2 linked regions of the Mytilus edulis genome follow. The protein of the gene in region 1 purifies or fractionates together with the protein of each later gene. This does not show direct contact. Links are inferred from orthologs where the notes say so. Each region holds a gene or a part of one and is shown on either strand. Other genes may lie near its edges.

The links.
Region 2: the proteins of N-alpha-acetyltransferase 50-like (region 1) and N-alpha-acetyltransferase 15, NatA auxiliary subunit-like purify together in Drosophila melanogaster (affinity purification with mass spectrometry, with the first as the bait; 3 studies listed by BioGRID). This does not show direct contact. The link is inferred for Mytilus edulis from reciprocal best matches to the Drosophila melanogaster genes san and Naa15-16.

Annotation. Positions count from the first base shown.
Region 1 is NC_092348.1:77,360,612-77,372,212, reverse strand, and holds the start of N-alpha-acetyltransferase 50-like, read right to left. Parts: upstream 5,146-11,601; 5' UTR 5,048-5,145; coding exon 5,040-5,047; intron 972-5,039; coding exon 835-971; intron 1-834. UniProt on the Drosophila melanogaster protein: N-alpha-acetyltransferase that acetylates the N-terminus of proteins that retain their initiating methionine. Has a broad substrate specificity: able to acetylate the initiator methionine of most peptides.
Region 2 is NC_092351.1:26,353,663-26,364,758, reverse strand, and holds the start of N-alpha-acetyltransferase 15, NatA auxiliary subunit-like, read right to left. Parts: upstream 4,600-11,096; 5' UTR 4,338-4,599; coding exon 4,281-4,337; intron 1-4,280. Other genes in the region: ras-related protein Rab-33B-like, read left to right, coding at 4,779-5,030, 6,045-6,509.

The sequences.
Region 1 (11,601 bases):
CTTAAGAGCTTGGGATTTCTGCGACTTTCTACAGTGGTTCTGAACACATTGAATGTGTACATTTCCCCCTTTTCATAGCTTTAGCTTTGATTTTAGAAAAAAGGGTTGATTGAAGTTGGTGTTAACTGTTATCAGCATTTAAAATTTGTTAACATTTTAACGGACCCCCTATTGTCCCCCCCCCCCCTTTTGATAGTTTTCAAGAAAGCATCTAAACTTGCATTTGTAATTTACAGGGAGTCAATTGATGATTTTGAACTTTCTGTAACCTCTAGAATATCTTTATAGACCTTAAAAAGTATGGGCTTTGCTCATTGTTTAAGACATTGCAGTGACCTACAGTCATGGCAGTGGTTTATTTCTGTGTCATTGATCCCCATTGTTTAAAAAAAATTAATCAACGTGCAGTTTGTTTGATCTCAGTACTTCATCATGTTCATTAGTTTAAATCTGATTATGACATTGAATTTTCTTGCTTTCCTCTGAATTTACTATTGTGACAGCATGAAAAGAGGCGACCATGCCTGATTATGTCACACTAAAAGAACACAACTTTTTGCAGATTATTTGAAAAGAAGGAATTAGTTTGCCTGCATATTGTTAGAAAATCATTAGAGAAACAGATTCCACCACCAATTCTCTTTGTAATACGATATTTATCCACTCTCGACAGTTAAATTTTAAATATTTAAACATGTTAAAACACTTGACAAGCCTTACATTTAAAATTTGAAAATTTAACTGTCTTGAGTGGATGAATATTGTATCACACTCGATGCAGTGGTAGAATCTATATATACATGTATCATTGTTATTCTACTGTTATAAACATACCAAGTTTTGCTAGCTCTCCAACTTCTAATACATCTTTATAGAACTTATCATTGTAAGTCACAGGGAACACCACTTGATTCAACAACTTTAGCTGCTTGATGTTATGAGGAGTTATGTCCCCTAGTTCTGTATGACCTCTGAAAAGAATAGACATAATCAACTTATATAACCTCAGCTGCATCATACATGTATCATAAAAAGTCACATACATGTACCAGTGCTCTAGCTAGAAATCAAAAGGGGCAGGGTGCCAGTGGAGGGCAGGGCACTTTTTATGATAAGAAAAGGCACTGCTCATTTTTTTGTCTACATTTCTGTGTGTATCACGAGTTAACGAATCTCTTTTTTTTTTTTACTGTATATGTTGTTTTTTTTAAATAAAGATGCTTTTCAACTATAGTCTTTATTTCATTGTTTGTGTAGTTATGAATGATATATTACATCCATGACATCTTCATCAACATATTATGTTTTTACAGTTTAACTTCACTCTACCCATTATCAAAGAATATGTGGGTTTTTTTTTCTTTATAGGAATTATAGCTTTTAATGCATCATATGATCTGTAACAACAAATGGAAGTTTTTAACGACCTTGACTGGCTATACAGCCCTTGCACGGTCTGTATGATCTGTAACTGAGAGCATTACTAATTTAACAATGTTTAGAACATGGATTGCTAAAAGTATAATTATCAAGTAGAAATTGCAATATATATTTTTTAATATGTTCAAAGACAGTTAATATCTTTAAGGTAACATTATTATGTTATTATATATTCAATTGGTAATTTATTCCTATTTTTGATACTAGATAATATTTTAAGAGCACAAATTTGTAATAAGCTAAAACAGGGGAAGTAACTCCAAAATCAATTTCCACCACGTTTGGGTTAACTAAAAACTGTGCTTGTCGCTAACAAGTTGAGATGGAAGGCATTTCTGTAAAGGCATAGTTTTATTTTGCTGACTTAAATTCAATTCTAAAGTCAGGAAAGTCTTCACTTATATATGCTCTTCCATTGTGACTTGGAGATCGAAAATGCCGACCCAAGCTAAACACACTCGCTGACACATTCATCAAAAGTATGACAAAAAGATACATTGTCCTAATTAAATTACCTAGTTATTAACACCTTTGAAGTCTTTATCATTGTAATTGAGTGTAATGACATGATTAACCTGGGGGCAATCACACAGGTGTCATATATGTAATTAACTTGGAGATCAGAAATCGATGAAACAAAATTTTACCAAAACGGCACAAGATAATTTTGGAAAAAGACGTCAGGGCAGAAGGGCACGGATGAAGGCACCCAGGGCACGGCGCCCTTCTATTTTGGGCTAGCGAGACCACTGATGTACTATCTTTCTTAGATGACCAGGGAAATGGTGCTGAATTCAATTTAACAGGTTTTTCCAATTTGTCTAGTTGTCCCCAACCTGTTTAATGATTTTGTAAATTGTATTATCACATATTTGTTACAAATACATTGTATGTTGGGTTTTGCATATATACAGTGATATTGTTGTCTTTTTTCAAACCTACCTTTTTTTTGGGGGGGGGGGGGGGGGGGAGAAGTGCATCGTTTTTTGGGGAAATTGGGAAATTTTTAGACATATTTAACCGGAAAGAACATTTGGGGGAGGGGAAAGAAACAAATACAATGACAGTATTTAATACATTGAAACCATGCATGTTACAAACATCCCGATGATTCAAATCAGAATCCCTGATCTCAAAAACGTTTTCATTATATCAAAATAATAACATGAATACGAAATTTACATATCATTACTACCGATGCCATCACTGTTTGGGAAAAATGTACAACTTATTGGGAGGAATTTTAAGCCATTTTATTTTGTAATTGGGAATTTCTCTAGGGGAAAAAGCGAATATCGGGGGTAATTTGAGGCTAACAATATCACTGATATAATAACCTCAAAATTGCTGAGGGCAAAAAAAGAGTATATTGGTTATTGTGCCCTGATTCCAAATGACATAACGTCATTGCATCCTTAACGACTTTTTAATTGCTTCTGTGATAAAAAAAAAAAAAAAAAGAAGATTTACCTGTTGTTTCATTAAATTGTTATAATTAATATTTTTTTCTCTTTTCTGCAAAACTTAAATATGTGATTTATATTATAACATGTCTTTTCCATATTGGCCCTGGTCAGTGTTCTTCCCAAGATTTTTGGATAGCGCTGTGGTAAGTGCGTAATTTTCGACAATTCTCAGTAACTTTGTCACGGCGCGCTGTTTGTTTGTAATTGATTTGTTATTTGTTTTTCTTATATTATGCCATTGATTTTTTTTCTCTTGTAATGATGTCCTCATCATGCTCATTGAAGTTACCCCTTTGTTTGTTAATATAGAAGAAGAGTTTTTTTTCTCCATTGTAAATTCATATAATCCTCATATTATCTGTGCATAAATCCCAAGGAGAAGTCTTTTTCCATGATGGGTCTATACCAGACTGCCTATGTGAAGATTTCTAAGCACTAACAGGTGATGTTGCAGAACATGTCGGACCAACAATACAGTCATTGTCAGCCTCTTGTGTTTGGTTTTGAAACCCACTGTAGCAGTGACTCCAGTTTTCTGACAAGTACTGTCAACCTTACGACGTTTGACCTGTTGACAGGAATTGACATTTTTTAACATCATGATTTCTCATTTTTCTGACCTAAACGTTTTATTCAAATGGCTTCATCCAAGCTGGATCTCGAGAAAGTATCAGCTTAGGGTTTGTTTTTCTGATCGTTTTCAAATGGTAAAATTCATTAATGTAGAATCGTGAATGAACAATTATTAGTTCGAATAGGTGATAATTAATACTTCAAAAGACTTGTTCATTTTTGGGGTTCGTATGGATAGTAAGCCTGGCAAATTGTAACAAACCCCTGTGTTTGATCGTTTTTAAAATCATCGTTTGTTCAAAGTTTGTAAAACAAGTTTATGAGTGTCGTGGGGAAATGCGGTCAATTTATATCATCTCATTTCATGCATATATCATGCATAAATGCCTCTGTATATTCTTTAAATAAAAACAATAGATGTCATTGATGAAATCTTGGTTTATTTTGATCTGTCAAATACGCCATTTTGTAAATTTATTTGACTATTCCCGCTGAGTTACTTAATACAGCGGATATAATTCACTCAGAAATAGTAAACCAGTCGACACGTGATCCGAAGTGAAAAATAAGCGGGAATTTTGAAAAAATTACAAAAAAATATATAGTGTTGCGCTTGCTTTGGATAGCGCTGCGGTCTTTGCAATAGAACAGCAGGAATTGTGATAGCGCTGAAAATCGCGGTGCTAAAACGACCAGGGGAGAACACTGCCCTGGTATCATCCCTCGACCCATATCGGCCCTCGGCTAAAGCCTGGAGACTGATATGGGGTAATACCAGGGCCAATATGGAAAAGGGCATGTTATAATCTATACTTATTCCAACATTTGACAGATTTACTGTGAAAAATACGGGAAAACATCATTAAAACAGAGCTGTTGCTTGGAAACATGCATAGCATTTCCCATACTTTCATACTATTTCCACCTCTTTCTAAAAAATCTGCCCCCTAATGGCCTATCCAATATGGCTGAACTAACTGTGAAGAGCCCTATTAGAAATTATTAAGCGATAGTGTATTTTACACACGTCTTCATTCATTTATGAGGGTGGTAAAGGTTATTTTCGTGCAAGGTGTTTTGCCATTTCACATGCAGCCATGAATAAGGTACGTTATTCACCGTGTTTTCGTGAAATTGGTAATAAGATCAATGTACAAGCCATTTTTTTAATTATTCGTTCATCGTGAAATAGCAATTTTATATCGCATTCTTCCTTGCAGATACCCCCCTCCACTATTACCGGACAATTAAGTCCGATACAAATTATTTGGTTGTGTCAAATCCGGTCAAAATATATGTTCCTGGTAAGTTGTACTACAGTCTACAGGCACCTGTTTCTATCCACGGGAAGGTGGATTTATATAAATATATAGATAGTCGATCTTTCCATTGATGGAAACAAGTGCCTATGAGTAGAATAATAAAATAAAACAGGCCTGGGCTAGATAAAAAGGGGGTTACGAATGATATTGATCCAACAATCGATTTCAGTGCACACTTGGTGTACAATTGGCAGCAATAATAAATACACTACTCAAAGTAAAGATCACAAATATGCACCTTGTCATTGTAAACACTTGATTAACATCAACTAACTGCTCACATGTGTTCCCGCTCCAAAACCGGAAATAAACAAAAATTGTTTTGAATCGGTCCCTTAATTGGGTAAAATTAAATGCTGTTTTGATTGGAATAAACACAAGTACAATAAAAACAAGTACGTTATAAGCCAGAAAACTTTCCGGTTTGTTAAAAGAGCGTCAGTATTCCATGACTTTTCATTTGTAAAAACGTTATCCACGATGTTCCTACAACACGACGTTACACTAAAAATGAGGCGTCAAAGACTTTTTTTTTACTTCGATTAATTTTTGCAAGTTTTATTCCAATTTCGGGTTTTTATATGTTGTTGGTTGATTCTGGTTCTGTTGTTTTTGTGATTTACCTCAAGTTGTGGAAATCGATTTAATAATAATTACAGTACCCTTTAAGTTATTTAACCTAAAAATTCAAAACTGTCACAAGTAATGTAGGAAGGAAAATTGGGACGACTTTAAATGATCTATTTCGGAGTACTTCCGCAACATAAATTGAAATTCGCATTTTACATTTAGAGGACTGTCTTTGTGTCTCCAATTTGTCTTTGCAAAAGTTGAACGATGTTCATGTAATGAGATTTTTTTTCTTCTCTATTCTACCATTCTTTTAAATAAACTTTATAAAAGCGATTAATAAAAATTGCCAAATGTAATCTATTTATGTAATCGAATTTATATGTCCCTGGCCAGAGTCTCTAGCAACATGCACTATTCTTATTTTTCGGCAGCCATAACCATCTTTTTCCAAATTTCACTACACGATTTGTTTTAATTATCATAAACATCAACTGATTGACACTTTAGCACATGTGACGTCGGAAATTAGCGTTTTCCGGATTTTTCGACGTTTTCACACGTTTGGACAAAATGGCTACCGTTTTGTAATGTGTGGAAGCATTTTATACCTTAAAGACCCAGATATGTAGTTGATAAAAAAAGAATCTTGGTATTGTGTACTCTTCGTGTATCTAACTTTTGTTTTGATCAAATGCAGTTTAACTTTTTGGCTTATATCTCAATAACTAAAGCTTTTAGAGCAAATCTGACATGGAATTACATTTTCATTTTCAAGTTAGATAAGTTTGAATGATAAAAATCAGTCGAACACTGAATCTTTTTCCAATAATTCATAGTTTGACGTCGCGAAAATAACAATTTGCGTTTGCAACGTCATCATTACCTCTCCCTGTAACTGGTATGCCCTTAACCCTCTTGCTGCCGACCGTTTTTCAAGGTTGCATTTCATATGCCGGAAAATACGACAGCTCAACGTCTGTGACGTAACATGCCAAACAACCACGTCATTCGATATATGACGTCACGACAAAATGACCACTACATTTGGGACCAATTGGAGAAAAACATGACCCTGTTTATTCTTCTGTATTTTAATTGCCGAAAGAGATACAGCATTGATAAGAAGCTTGCATAAATTTATCCATGGACATATGTGTCCCTCCGGCACTGCCGGTTTGGACATAGGTGTCCCTCCGGCAGCAAATTATTGAAATATGAGTTAAAATATACGCGTTAACTGCTTTGAAAAATGAAATATCAACTTAGACAAAATGGCTAGTTTTGTCAATTTTTATGAAAATGTAAATAGTGCCCCAAAGGGCCCCATGCGAGCTAATGCCATCACTTGGCGTCCGTCGTCTGTGGTCGTCGTCATAAACTATTTAAAAAATGTCCTCCTCTGAACCTACTGTGCCAAATACCTTCAAACTTTAACTAAATTTTCCTTATGGTATCTAGTTTATAAATTGTATCTGAAGTTTTGATCCATCGACAAACATGGCTAACATGGCTAAAATTAAAAACATAGGAGTCAAATGCAGTTTTTGGCTTATATCTCAATAACTAAAGCTTTTAGAGCAAATCTGACATGGAATTACATTTTCATTTTCAAGTTAGATAAGTTTGAATGATAAAAATCAGTCGAAAACTGAATCTTTTTCCAATAATTCATAGTTTGACGTCGCGAAAATAACAATTTGCGTTTGCAACGTCATCATTACCTCTCCCCTGTAACTGGTATGCCCTTAAAAGCCGCCGGGTTCACGGAAACAAATTGACCAAGCAACTTGGCACTTGATGGAAGTGATTAACGACCTTGACTGGCTATACAGCCCTCGCACGGTCGGCTCGGTGCCCAAGGCGTTAGATGAGCGTTTGAATAATTTCTGCAGTGGGTCAGAAACAGGCGGTAGAGGACGCCATTTTGGAAGACCACCATTTTGGTTTTGGTGAGTTCTTTTTGGTTTGTTTACTGCCTTCACAACGGCTGCTTTAAATCGGGGCCTGGTCAGCTTGGCAGCCTGCTAACCTCGATGATGGAGTACTGGTAGATGAGTCTTGGACTTGGTATTAAAGATGACAGGAAGCATTATCAGGACCAAAGCCGTGACTCGGGCAGTGAAATAATGGTCAATCATCTAACACCTAGGATACAGCCCTCGCACGTCAATCGGCATAACACTCCCCCATCTACAATGGGTTTTGGGGTGCATGTTAACGCGGAAATAAACGCCAACAACAACGTTTACTGTACAGCGTTGGATAGGTTTCTGTCATCTATAAAAGTAGTAAGTCGTTGATCATCCAGCACGTCCGTTCAGCTGTAATGACTGAGGCGTGACTGATTCTACTTGGGACGAATTGGTTGATACGAATCGGAGTTGGGACGAATCATCCAGAGACGTTTGTGAGACCAGAGACATATAACGTTGTTGTTGGCGTTTATTTCCGCGTTAACATGCATCATATTGTATTCATCTAAATGTTTGAATAATATGAAATTGTATACTGTACTGTATTTTAATTGTATACTAATTGCTCTGTAACTATATATAACACGTTAAAAATAAAAAAGGGAAAATAAATAATTCCCGTTTTGGTCAAGTTTTGATATTTCCAACTCAATGAGTGCTGAAACATTGTGTATTAGATTTTTTTTCATTTAGAAATGAGTACTAATTTCACGGTCCAACAGGAAATGTAAATACAAAAATTATCATCAATGCAAACAAAATCATCAAGTTATCATTTTATATGTACGAGAGTTGTGATACTCAAATACGATTACTTTAATTTACATCTCCTCTTTATAAGTGTCTTATCTAAAGAGTATTGACGCTCTTTGTCATTTCCGGTTCCTGTATGTCTTGACTTCAAGAGTACTGTCTAGTACTATACGTCACAAGTATAATACCACAGAGTATCGCCACTCTTAGGTTATAGCTCTTTTTGCTAAAGAGTATAAAAAAAATTTGCAAATATATTTTCAAGAGTAGCGATACTCAATTAAGCATTGTCTACCTCCATTCTTAGAATATTCCGGTAAAAAAGTTTTATGGTCCATGAGAAGTAGTATTTTAGAAGCATTTTTTTAACATCTACACTTTAAATAAGTTTATTTTTGACGGAGTATCGATACTCTTTGAAACTGTTTTCTACCTCAAGAGAATCAATATTCTTTTAAACAGGTTACATTGAGTGTGTTGAACATGTTGAGAGTATCGATACTCTTAAAAACGGGTTTCTACTTTGAGAGTATCGACAGTTTTCAACGTTGAGAGTACCAATAATTTTTTAAACAGTTTTCTTCCATGGATGTATCGATACTCTTAAAGCAGCTCCTTTTTTTTTACCTTGAGTGTTTTATACCTTTTTAAACAGTTTTCTACCTTAAGAGTATCGATACTCTTATTAATGGTTTTCTATCTTGAGAGTATCGATACTCATTTAAACAGGTTTCTACTTTGAGAGTATCGATACTCATTTAAAGAGGTTTCTATCTGAGAGTATCGATACTCATTTAAAAAGGTTTCTACCTTGAGAGACTCCTTGAAATTTTTTGTGACCTAGTTCATTCTTGAAGACCGTATGGTGGCCTATAATTGTTAATTTCTGTGTCAATTGGTCTTTTGTAGCGAGATTGGTCTCATTTACAATCATACTACATCATCTGAGCGTTAATGAAGTTGAGCTACTAATTGTTTTCTTCGATCCATAGATTAGAATGGAATACACTAACGAGTCTTAAAACTTAACCAGTTGAACTTTGAAGTACTGCTAAAAAAATGAAAAAAAGGGCAGCTTTATGTATTTGGTTAACAGGAAGTTGATAAGTGATGGATGTATATAAGGCTCACATAAAACACCATTAAAAATTTCGAAGACCTTGATGTGTGATTTCTGGGAAGAATGCAACAAAAAAATTCCTACAGAACCATTATTATTAAGAATTAACCAGTAGTAAGAAAAGTTGAGGAGCATTGAAATTTTTAAGTGCATGACAGTGTATAAATTGATGAAATGCGGCTTGATATCACATTTTTAAAATTAATTGAGAGAAGTTTCTGAAATAAATGAAACTCATGTTCTCCTCCATTCGGAACAGGGGAATACAAACATATAACAAAAGTTAATAAATATATACACATTTTGTTTATTAACATTTTATATGGATTTTGACAGCAAAAGTATCATCTTTTTCCAGTCTTCCTCTTTTTTATGTCCTTTTGCTTGAGAACTCTCTCTACTCCATCAAGTCCAAATTTAACAAAGTATCCTGTAAAAAATATATACCTTAGAGTTATGATATTATTATATAAGTTATTTAGATTCTTTTAATTGATAACGTTACTAAATCAAAGAAAATTTCATTCTATAATATACGATATTGGACTTTAACGGCTATGCAGGTGAAAAAAGTGTTTATATAATTTTCAACCTTAAACGAATACCGTTTGTATTCTAATTTCTAAATATTTTTTTTTACTTAGAATATCGATCAAAGGTAAATTGATACTGTTGGTGATGTATTGTTTGTTGTCTAGAGCTAAAAGTTGGTTGTATTGAAGACAACACCCACCTTTACTCCTTTTTTCTATGATATCAGCTTCATACCACTTCTGGTCCTGCTTCCAAAAGCATAAAATCTTTTCTCCGTTCTTGTACTCCGTGTTTTCCTAATAAAACAACACAAAATGAACATAGTTAATTGCCAGGCAACTGACTTCTATGTAAAAGGTATTACTTGGTTTTTTCTTTCATAAAATAAACCCCAAAATGTCTATAAAATATATGAACCAAGTATTTTTATAACATAAAACGTATTAATTATAAGAAAAAGTTTTGGGTATCCAATATTCTGCACAGTCAGCGTGAGATTATAAAAAAGCCTAACGGCATAATGAGAGAACTGATATTTATCAACCAAATATATAGTTTAATAGACTAAACAAGAAGTAATTCATTGTAATCTTTAAATTTTACAGAGTATACCCAGTAAACACACGACGTACTCCCGACGTCGGTTAATGGTCGTCTGAACGTCATGTCGTGAGTTTACGTCGTACCAACGTTGTGGGAACGTAAAAATCCAACGTTGGATGCAGACGTACAGACGACGTTATAAAATTACGTCGGCTTCACGTAAACTTAGTACCTTGTCAGGACGTAACATTTTATTACGTTGTGACAACGTGCTTATAACTGTCATAATCCGACGTAACATTTTGTTACGTTTTGTTACGTCGTATCGACATTATAAGAACGTAGTGAATACATTGTAAAAATCTGGTTTTATGGGACGAATTTTTGGGGTATGTCATAATGAGTATTCCTGGATGTATCGATCATTCACCTTAACTAGAAGATATTTACGATTTTTTCGATTTAAAAAAAAAAAACTCCCCCTTTTTTCCCCGCAGACATAATTTGCATCAAGATGTCAAAGAAAATATTACAAATCCAATTTTAATGTTCTAATATATGTATTTTATATGAATATTTATTGTTTAATATATCATTAAAATTTTGTCATCATTTATCACTTGGATTTCATAATCGTTTTTCACGATTTGATTAGTGTAACGTTCAGCAGTACTCGGGTTTTACCGCAGCATACTGTATGTATGTACTGGTAAATGCCTCCGATATCCGAAGAACCCCTCGAAAGCTGCGAGTGTACAGTGGCATCCATGTACACTCCCTAACGGGATTAATGGAGATGTGTCACTAACGTATATTTATACGACAATTATTTTTACAAGGACAACCAATCCCCACCCAATTCAACACAAAGGGAGTGCTAGGACACCGGGAAGTCTGTTATTGTGGTGGAGGAAGCCGAAGTACTCGGAGAGAACCACCGGGCCACTCGGTGGAAACAGACAAACCAGAGAGATATCAGAAGATTGATCTCCAGGTCAAAGTAGGGACACTTTGACCAACCGAGGCCCCCAACGTACCCATTCTAGTTTAAACTCCGGTCTGGGTACCAGAGATGTGTGTGAGAGGGTGAAAATTACCCTTCTAATGTACTGAGATTTTTTAGCACCCCGAGTGAGAATCGAAATCGAGAATTGAAAACAGTGAGGAATTTGCAGTGGAAATTTAGCTTAATCCAGATTCCAGAACAAAGAAAAAGGTAAAATAATGATTGCACATTACACCAAATAGGTTCTCCATGATAAAAACAAGTTTGATTGATGAAAATAACAGCTGTTACCGTGTTG
Region 2 (11,096 bases), on another chromosome or scaffold:
CTCAAAAAAGTGTGGTCCGAGGATTTGACCACCAAAATTTGAAAAAGACCGACACAATTTTGGTATTTTGTAATAGAAATAGTAGTGAGGTCGAACAGTTTTTCTTCAAGGACTAACAGGGAAAAAAAGATTTCAAGGAACCTGCTGTATAATCTTAATCAATGAGCAAAGCCCAAACTGCATAGTAAGCTATAAAAGGACCTCAAATCACAAAGGTGAAATTATTCTGACAAGAAAACTAACCGCCAAATTAATGTACAAAACAAAAGGCCTGTCTAACAATTCAGAAAATCTTAACCAAGATTCTAGGACCCACTATTGCCAGTCAAGTCCTACTTTTACAGCTTTTACATTAATGCTAGCAAGACAAATCTTTGTTTGGCTTGCTTGCTTTGTTTGTATCAGTGTTTGCTCAAGCATGGTAATTAAGATAGGTGGGGCTTCAGCTTGTATACATCATACTTAGATTGTATTGGACGTTATGTCTGAGGTTAAGGACACTTAATTTTAGAACATCACATGACAAATATTCTCACATGTTTTCTCACCTGTAAAAATACAATAATTTGTCAATGAAAGAAAAATATAAACTTTTTTCTTGTATGAGGCTGAGAAACTGGCCTTCAACATTAATTGACCTAATATTGTTTTTATAACATATCAATCTATTAGTTCAGTCAGTAATTTCCATGCCTTTCCTTCGATTATGCAACTCAAGAAAATATTCCAAAATGGGAAACAATTGTATCGAAAAGAGAAAATCGAGTGCACCTTTTTTTTATGTTAGGGTGTGTTTGAGATGAATATTTTGTCTTGAAAATGTACAAAACAAGAGTATTTGATGCACCATCTCGCTATCATTTTATATAGCAAAGCTACAGGTTGACTTTATAACATAAAAAAAAATCACAGTACTAAAAGATGAAATATAGGGTCAAGTGAAATACCTATCCAATGGATCACAAAATCAGAGTAGGTGTGTTCGAATAGCTATTTTACTAAAAGTGCTTGACGACAGTCTTTAAGTTGGATCTCTGAAAAAAAAAATTGTCTTCCGTTTCTACGATTGTGAAAATGAACTGGTGTAATAGGAAGATAATTTAGACGAAGTAGAATCCTGTCTGTATTGTATATTTACAGGTAAGGAAACATGTGAGAATATGTATCTTGTGATGTTTTAAAATTTAGTGTCCTTATACCAGGCAGTAGCCATAATAAAATAAGTGTCTTCCAACGGATGTCAGATGTTAACCAGCTAATTTTTTAGAGCAATTTATAAGGTAGTATTAATGCCACAAAATGGTCAAGTAAAGGCTAAACGCAAATTAAAGTATCCACGAAAGGTAGTTAATTTACAGTAAAATCTACGAAGGCTAACAATTATGTTGCCCTAGACATCTGCCTTCCCTTTAAAGAAACTCCAGGGAGGAGTTTATATATGGCACCTTTGATTTTCAGTAAAATTCCCCATAAAAATAACTGGTATCTGTTAGTTCGGTCTTTTTAGTGCACTCACATGTACATATACAATTTTCATTGTTCAGCAAAATCAGAAACTTTCTTCTGACACCGAATCCCTAATGTCATTACAGAAAATATACAATATAAATAAAACTAACATATCACAATCATTTATCTTGAAGACCTCAGGTAGCAAGTGAATAGGGGTATATTAGACTAATTAATGATAATCTTCAATATTTGATGTGATGACTTGGTAACTTGTAAAATTATAATCACTAATGTAGTTTCTCCTTTAGTACTTAAATATATATTGTATTAAAGTGGCCGTTTTGATGTAATAATAAAGAAAAAAAATGAACTGAAAAAAAAATTTAATTAATGGATTTCCAGACCTGTTCCAGTGTATGAAGATTCCCATCTACATAATCGCTGCTGGATAACTCGGACTGAAACAAAATCGGCCCATAACAAACTCGGGACTATAACAAACTCGGCCTACCATTATTTATATGCAGAAATATATTGAACAAACTCAGACTACGATTAGTAGATTGTTATTTTTTTACTTTAATAAAAAAAACCTTTATATATTAAAATTATAGACGAATTTATGAGATTGTAAAGAATATTTTTGAAAAAAAAGACCATATATATAGAAATGTATAAAATATTTAATATACGAGTTGAATTGGTGTTTAAATGAGGACAATTAACTTCTATTGGAAATATCATTGTGATTTATTATGATTATTGACAAAAGATATTTTAATGATTGGTGTGTGTTCATGTTTTTATTGTGTTTAATCCTAGGTGTTTATGATTAGTATATAAACAAAGAGAAATTTGATTGACAGTGAATGGCTTCTTAACAATTTCACTAATCTGTAGTTCTTTACTAATGGATTCAGCAATTGAAAGGTAATTATATTCAAATGGTCACATCAAACAGATACAATGTTTTTAGAAAGGCAAGCTGAGGCAAACATTTATTATACATGTATATAAATTTGTTTATTAAAGTGTCACATGTATCTAGAAATATATTTGGAGTAAAATTGAAAAAAAACAAGAGATTTCTTTGATCTTACCAATTAATACTTCTATAAAATAACATGAAAAAAAAATCCAAATGACTAGCTGTTAAATACTCCAGCCTATGTTTATACTCGTGCTTTTGCCTTAACAACATTCATTTTTCATGTTATCTTAGATATGACTCAGATGTGCTATATGTATGTTTTGTATGTGCTATGTTAGTGTTTTAAATGTGCTATGTATGCTTAAAGTGTGCTTTGACAATGACCAATTATATCTGCATGCTTTCAGTCTTAGATGATGACAAAATGCCTTTTGAGTTTAAAATGTGCTTTATGTCATGTATGTGTTTTATATATGCCTTATATTTTTTGTAAGTAATATTAGATATTGTTGAATGACGAAATCATTGTTATGTTAATTGTTTGTCGACATCTACTGAAATAATATTTGTAAACCCTATGTGTTCTTCATTAAATAGTATTACATTGTACAGATAAATCACACCAAGAGTCCACCATACAAAATATGATCAGAAACCAGAAAAACTAAAATTCACTAAATTGTCTTAATATAACACAAGTTATGTAATAAAAAAAACTGAAGTTCAGTTATAGACAATACAAGACATATTAAGTTGGATTTATAGTTTTCAATTTCGTGCAACAACAGGTAGTTTTGTCCTGACTTGGGTGATTAGATAGGTGTCAACAGTACATGTGCCAGTTGTTTGTTTAAATGATGGTGATTAAAAAGGTGTCAACGATACATGTGACATGATGTCATAATTAATTAACATATGCATATAATATTATTTAATTAATTGTAGATAACAATTCATTTTAAATTAAGAATTGAGAATTAATTTCCAATAACAACAACCAACATTATACTTATTTTCTTCTAGCTAGTAGTCCGAGTTGGTTATAGTCTGATTTTGGGAGGCCGATTATCTTATAGGCCAAGCTTGTTATAGTCTCTTCTTCTTCTTCTGATATACAGTTTCAGCTTCATTATTATTGAAGATTACGAACTGTTGCATGCGCGGAGTATATGATTAAAAAATATGAACAAAAATTTATCTTTAACTTTATAGTAGAATACTTGGTGATATTTACATGAAAGAAAACAACAAGTGATTAAAAAATATGTACATTGTTATTTATAGAATTAAATTATGTTGTGGAGAACAGTTGGTGTCAACTGATCTCTGTAAATTTCAATGGTTTGACTTTCTCAATTTTATATTTGACTTGCTACCACAACTTGTGGCAACATGTTCCATTGAATTTTGATTTTGTTATAGTCCGATTTTTATATAGGCAGAGATATCATGGATTTCTACATAATGAGTCCCTCTATATAGATTAATCATTCTTCATACATTGTTACGGTCTACATCTTTTTTCAATCCTTGTTCAAAATATTCCTGGCATCATAAACATGCAAAATCATAATGCACAAAAAAATTGCATGGGATATTTAGCAGGGGCTCTTCAATCCCTGAATTACAACTTGCCATGAGCAACACTTGTGTAGCAAGATGACCTGTGATGGAACAAAACCTGTTAAAAAACTAGACAAGTAAGCAACAACACCAGTTCCCCTCAAGTTTTTTAAGGGAATTCCTGATGCTCAAACTTAGGTTAGTCTGTTGAGGTTTTATTCTAATGTCAGAGAAATATTTGTCTTTCTTTAAATATCACATTCTTAAATTTCTTGATTGGCCCCTTGGCCTTGGTAACTTCCCCCCTTTTTGTGAAATGTGCAAACTCACTCACCAATATTCTTTTAAAAAGGGCATTTTCTTTAGGAGGTAGTGGATTGTTAGTGGGCATTTTGCTCTAGGGTTCTGTGTTTGCTTTATAACCAGCTATTTCCATAGGAAACAGGATACACAACCACGAGGATGCTATCCAACATGGAGGAAGCAATATTTCCGGTGTTCTCGCTGTTTCGTTATTGAGATTTCGATGCTTGAATAGAAGAAAATAATGTACTAAAATGTTATATTAAGTCAAATTTTAGAAATAAATTAGTCTCTAATGTCAAATATTTTAAAAGGAAAGGAGCATGGAAAATGATATCGTAAAAATCAGTAAAACGCTTTTGTTAAGGAATATTCAATACAATTTTCAAGCTTTTATTTGACATTGAAGAAGCTACGACGAATAATTGGAATGTGTCAAAAATTAAGGAAAACAGTAACAAAACAATGAAATATACAATTTTCCAATATATATAATATGTTACACACATGATTAAATAACCATTGCAACATGATGGAACCATTATCAAACTCTAAGGCTGTTGACAATACACACGAAGAACAATTTGAATCATCTGTTACAGTTATTGAAAAACAAGCACAAAAGAGAATTTTCAAAATCATTGTTATAGGAGACTCTAATGTTGGTAAAACATGTTTGACATACAGATTTTGCTGTGGAAAATTTCCAGATAAAACAGAAGCAACTATTGGTGTTGACTTTAGAGAGCGAATGGTAGAAGTTGACAAGGAACAAATTAAAGTAAATAACAATAAATGAGAAATGACATATCCTTCAAGTTCAGTTACCTATAATTTCGCTGTTTCAGAATCTAATGTCTTTTTGGTAATATTTTCAAAAAGTCTACACCAAAACATTGTGATTGGTTTAAAATGCCATAAACAATGGATATTTGATATGTTAACTAATGTCAATGATGTGACTAATATTTACAATTTTGGATACAAACAATAAAACTTCCCATAGACATTTAGATTCCAAAGGGATGATTAACTGGTCCCTTCCAGTATCTTGGAGAATTTGAAATCTAAGATATTTTTTGCTTATGACAACATTTTTTTGAAAAGATTTCTGTGTTCAGAAATAGAACACTATCATTCATTTAGCATATATGGTTAATATAAATGAGGGATAAAAGGCAAGTTAATTTGTGCTAAATGGCAGCCAATATTCCCCATTTAACTGACATCAGGTAACATAACTCGGCAACCTAAGAAGAAAATTACTTTTGCAAGGTGCTGGAGTCAGTTTCACAAAAAAAACTTAAGACTAAGATTGGTCTTAAGTCATGAATAAATCAGTATACTTACGACCAATCTTAATCGTGAGTTTCTTTGTGAAATCGACCCCAGGAATCTAATATCTGTTCTAAATATAGAATGATGTCATTGTTAAAAAAAAATGAAGTTATCTTCCTTTGTTCAGTTTTGCTGTTAAATCAACTACAACCAATGCAATAATTAATTTTACTTCTCACTGATAAAAATTGAAGCAATCTTTACCGTTCAGTGCTAACAAGAACTTTGATTACAAGATTCACACCAAATGTTTGTCTTCCAGGTCTCCCTTTTTTATCAAATGCTGGATCCACACCTGACAAAAAAATTAAGTAGTGAAAACGGTCAATTTACTCCTTGTTGGGGCTTTTGTCTATAATTGACATAACCTTTATTTTAACTCTGAATTAAATCTGTGCCATTTTATAAAAACAAGATTTTACATTGTATGTTTTAAATACTTTCTTTGTTATTTTAGCTACAACTTTGGGATACGGCTGGTCAAGAAAGATTCCGTAAATCTATGGTACAACACTATTACAGAAATGTCCATGCTGTTGTCTTTGTTTATGATGTCACAAAAATGAGTTCATTTGAGAGTATGCCATCTTGGATAGAAGAATGTGATCGTCATAACCTGAATCAGGAAATACCGAGAATTCTAGTGGGTAACAAGTGTGATATGACGGCTAAGGTTGCTATAAATACAAATTTAGCTCAGAAATTTGCAGACTCGCATAGTATGCCTTTATTTGAAACTTCTGCAAAGGATGATGAAAAGGCCAATCATGTTGAAGCCATCTTTATGACACTGGCTCATAAGCTGAAAAACTCCAAACCCATGATGACACCTTTCATTGCTCCAACAAATTTACCAAGTAATGTTCAAGTTATCTCGCTACAGGATAAGAAGGCCAGTGAAAAAGATCAATGTTTTTGTTAAAGTCAGTTGTTTTAGTGATCATTTAATTATTTATTATATTATTGACAACATAAAATGATGGGATTGCTTTATATTTATAGACTGTTTTTCTTTATTGAAATTTTTTTTAAACTTGGACAATATCAATAAAAATCATTGTTGATGAAAGGCATTTAAAGCGTGACATATATATGGACAAACCCCATCTTTATACCTATCAACTTCTTTACCGGTACTCACTTTCAAACTGAAAGATTTGAAGAGTTACTTACTTGTCTACCTTCAGATCAGCCTTCAGGAAAAAATCCAGAAAATTACAGTTGTCTTCCCTTTGATACATATGAAGGAAAGTTGATCTCTGATAAATATAGGTATTTTAAAAGATATGTTGGTATTTTAAGTTGTTTTCTTTTTCATCAATGTATAGTATAGATTGTTTCACTGCAGTTTGAATACCCTTATGTTTTGTTATTGAACTAATGTTTAAGAAATCTGACCACTTTAGTTCTACAAAGTATTTCTCTAGTCTTCACACTGGAAAGAAGATATATTTTTTCTAGTGTTGTATTTTGATAGACTATCAACATTTCGTTTAATTTTTGTCATATGTTCAATCATGCATAACATGTTTATTGTATTTACTTTATATTAATACAATTACCCATTACAGTTAAACGAAGGAGTAAATGTATCTTCTCTTCGATTATGTTTAACATTCCAAAGACAAAAATAAAATCACATTTTGGGTTTTCTTTATGAGTTTTATAGATTTCACCTTGATAGGAATTCATTTCTATACAAATTATACCGGAAAAATTCGTCAATAGTACTTTTTTATCAAGAAACTTGCAAATGAAGCCGAAAAATCCGCAACACGTAAAACTAGGGAGAGATGTTTGAGAAACCAGAGCACTATAAACGTCTGCTTCTTGCTTGGTTGGGTTCCTTCCATGTAATACATTATTTGTTACTAAGAATTTTCAAAAAAGAAACTTTTATACTTGAACTTGCCTTGATCCTTTTTCTTTGCTTCAAAACTGCCACCCTGCATCAAGCATAGCCAACACCCCGCATGTGGCGTTCAACACAGTGTAGATTTTAAGTACCCGATTTTTGTAGAACACAGATTTTTGTGGCAAAATAAATTAAGTTTTAAGAATAAGGTTTGTATTTTACTATTAAAAAAAAAAATAGATGCTGAAAAATTATGTACTTGAATACCTGTTTTTATATCTTTATAATGTGATGCACATATTTGAAATTTTCATCATTTTTCTCAACAACTGCAAGTCATAGTTTCTTTATATAAAGGAATAGGTCCGGTAAGAACCGATTTTGGCTCAAATTTCAGGTTCATCTGACGAAAGATTTTGACCACTTTTCAAACACTTAAGTGGCCATTTCATTTGATTCAATTAGTTTATGTGAAAGATTTTAACTGATTTATTCATTAAAAATGATTCGATTCTAGCTCAAATATGAAAAATCTACCAAATATGCCAAAAAATGTCACTTTTCAGATGGTTTTTGTCAAAAATGAAAGTGGCCACATCCGTGTTCATCCTCAACCTTTATATATGTTATGTACTATCATCAAATACAACTTACATTTCAATATTAAGGATGAACACGAATGTGGCCACTTTCGTTTTTTACGAAAACCGTCTAAAAAATAACTAAAATGCTAAAGGTCACATTTACACATATACATATATATTTTGAAATATAGACATGCTTTATTTTGAAGGTAAAGATTATATTCATACAATCAAAAACACTAAATGAATTTTCCAGACTTAATCACTATTTTGACATTAACAAAACATAGTGCATTGAGCACAACATGTTCTTTCCACTACTAGGGGTGTTTAACATGGTAAACAGACAGAAAGTCACAGTTTTGATAGGACAAAAAGTCGCAGGACAAAAAGTCACAAATAGTATGTTGACAATTGTTTTAATATATAAGAGAAATATCTTGAACTATTTACTTTTTAATACATATATTCATATTAATGTTTAGGAAATATGTCATTATACTTGAAAAATGAAGATTTATATAATTCTAATCATGCAAAGGATATATTTCTTGGGGGCGATATCTTTTTGCGCCAAAAAGTAACTCATTTGCGCCACAACTTAATTGCGCCAATACCTCTTTTGCGCCACCTAATTTTCAAAACTATAGGTATCATTTGCGCCAATAAAATAATCATCTAATTGCGCCAATTTTATATTTTTTTATTTATATATAACAACTAAATTATTGACTAGGTACCAACAGCAAAAAATTCCTCTGACATTGTACACTGAAATTTCAAATTAGCCTTGCATCCTTATAAAATTATACCGCTTGCTGGATCGTTACACAATACAAACTCATCATCTTTGTTTGTAACAATACCAATATCATCCAATATTCTGTGAAATTCTGCTCGATTTTTAGATTAAGCCGGACGCAGTTTTCTTCTCTCTCTATACACAGACTGACACACATATTTTAAATCTTTCTTTTCTAAATTCTCTTCTTCAATTTTGAAGATCTCTGAATTTATTATTTTTGAAGGTGGCTCTGACAACACATTGGTTGCTTTTCTTTTACACGCAGTTCTGAAAAATTGACGTTCTGATTTCTGGACACTGATAATGAAAAAATTATATTTCTTTTTAAAAATGAAAATATGGTATTTTATACTGCCAAAACCTGCTATGAAATTTGAATAAAGCGAAAATGTATTTTATACTCGTGACAGTTGACTTGTATTTGCATTATAATTTTAAGAAAAATTGTTTTATAGTCTCTCAAAACTCTTTATAGAGTGGCTCTTGTTAACTTGTATTTTAAAAAGCTGTATATTTTATATGTAACAAGTGGCGAGACTTTAATAAAGTATTTGTCTTGTCTTGTCTTGATTTAGGTAAAACATATTAACAGGTAAATGTGGCGCAATTCCATTTCATTTATTGGCGCAATTAATACCATCAAAATAAAAGAGAGTGGCACAATTAATACCTTTTCAAAACTGCAATTGGCGCAAATTGATTCTGCCCTTTCTTGGCACCATGAAGCCGATTGATTAACTGCCAAGCCACTTTGACATTTTGTTTTTTTAACAATTATTTGATCAATTTTGATATTATTTGATAAATTTTGTTTACAAAGTTGGTTTGTATACAATAGTTCAAGAAAAATACAAAAATATTTTTGTAGAAAATAAGCGTTTTTTACTCAAAGAAAATAATTAGAAAAAATGAATTGACTTTTTGTCCTGTGACTTTTTGTCTGTGACTTGTTGTCCTGTGACTTTCTGTCCTACATTCGTTTAACATCATTCCCAAAAAACATTTAAATCAACCAAATAAAATATATAATCTGATATTCAAGTTAAAAAAATATGTGATTGAGTTGAACCATACTCATAAAAAAAATACTTATATTGTGCATGGTGCATAATGTAGTATTTAAAATTGGAGTTATCTTCCTTTGTCCATAATTTTAGTTGGACAATTCATTGCCTGCCAATGTTGAGTATAACTTCCCAATACAAAATGAATGTAATCTTTATCCTTCAGAGCTCACAAGCCCTTTGATTATGTGTGTCATGTTGGGTTAGTCTGTCATTGCTGTATACCCCACATTAACTTTTCTATATATTTCTATATATTGCATATATTTGAACTAACTGTTGATGACAATGTAACATGTGTAAGAACATTGTAATGTTTATTTTTAATTTGCCTGTTAAAGTGTTCAAGTGTGAACACTTCTTTTCCTGTGTTTTGCATTACATGTATCATGTAAATTTGTTTTTATAATGTGAAAATTAAGCACTGTATTCTATTCTAGCATGAACATAACAAGTGGGCATTGAGAAGGGAAGTGAGTCCGCCAATTCCTTTTTAGTATTTTTTATCCTGGTTGATAAGAAAGAAGTAATATTATTAAACTACAGGTTTTAATTATATTGTTATATTGTTATTATTTGCCAAAAGAAAATATGTGTGTTTTCTGTCCTGCACAAAATTGTTATTTCATTTACGTTTGGTTGTTAATGTATCAGCTCTTTTATATCATCAGGTATTATAAGAGAGATCAAAAGATGCAGAAATTTAAAACTATAGGTCACTATATGGCATTCAATATTGAGCAAAGCCCAAACAGCATAGTACATGTAAGCTATAAAAGGCCTGAAATGACAAATTTATGTAAAACAATTCAAACAAAAAAACTTGTGGCCTAATTTATGTACAAAATAATGAATGAAAAAACTTTTAAATTAAACACTTAAATATAAACTCTATTGTTCTCTTTTCAAAGTCAACTAAAATGGGAACAAAAACAAACTCGAAGGCTTACATGTTTCTTCTCAGCAACTCTCAGAGTGGTGTTTTTGATGAACATGTCAATTTTTGCACATAATTCATTTTCACTTATTTTGCATTTATATGTGTGAAAAAATCCTTGTGAATGATTTGAAGAAAGCAAAAACATTGATGTGAAGGGTGTACCTATATTTGATGTGCAAATTTGAATCCAGCATGAAATGTTTATGCATGAAAATTGAGAAAATAATAAACCAGGAAACCTCTTTTTAGAGTACCTTCCTT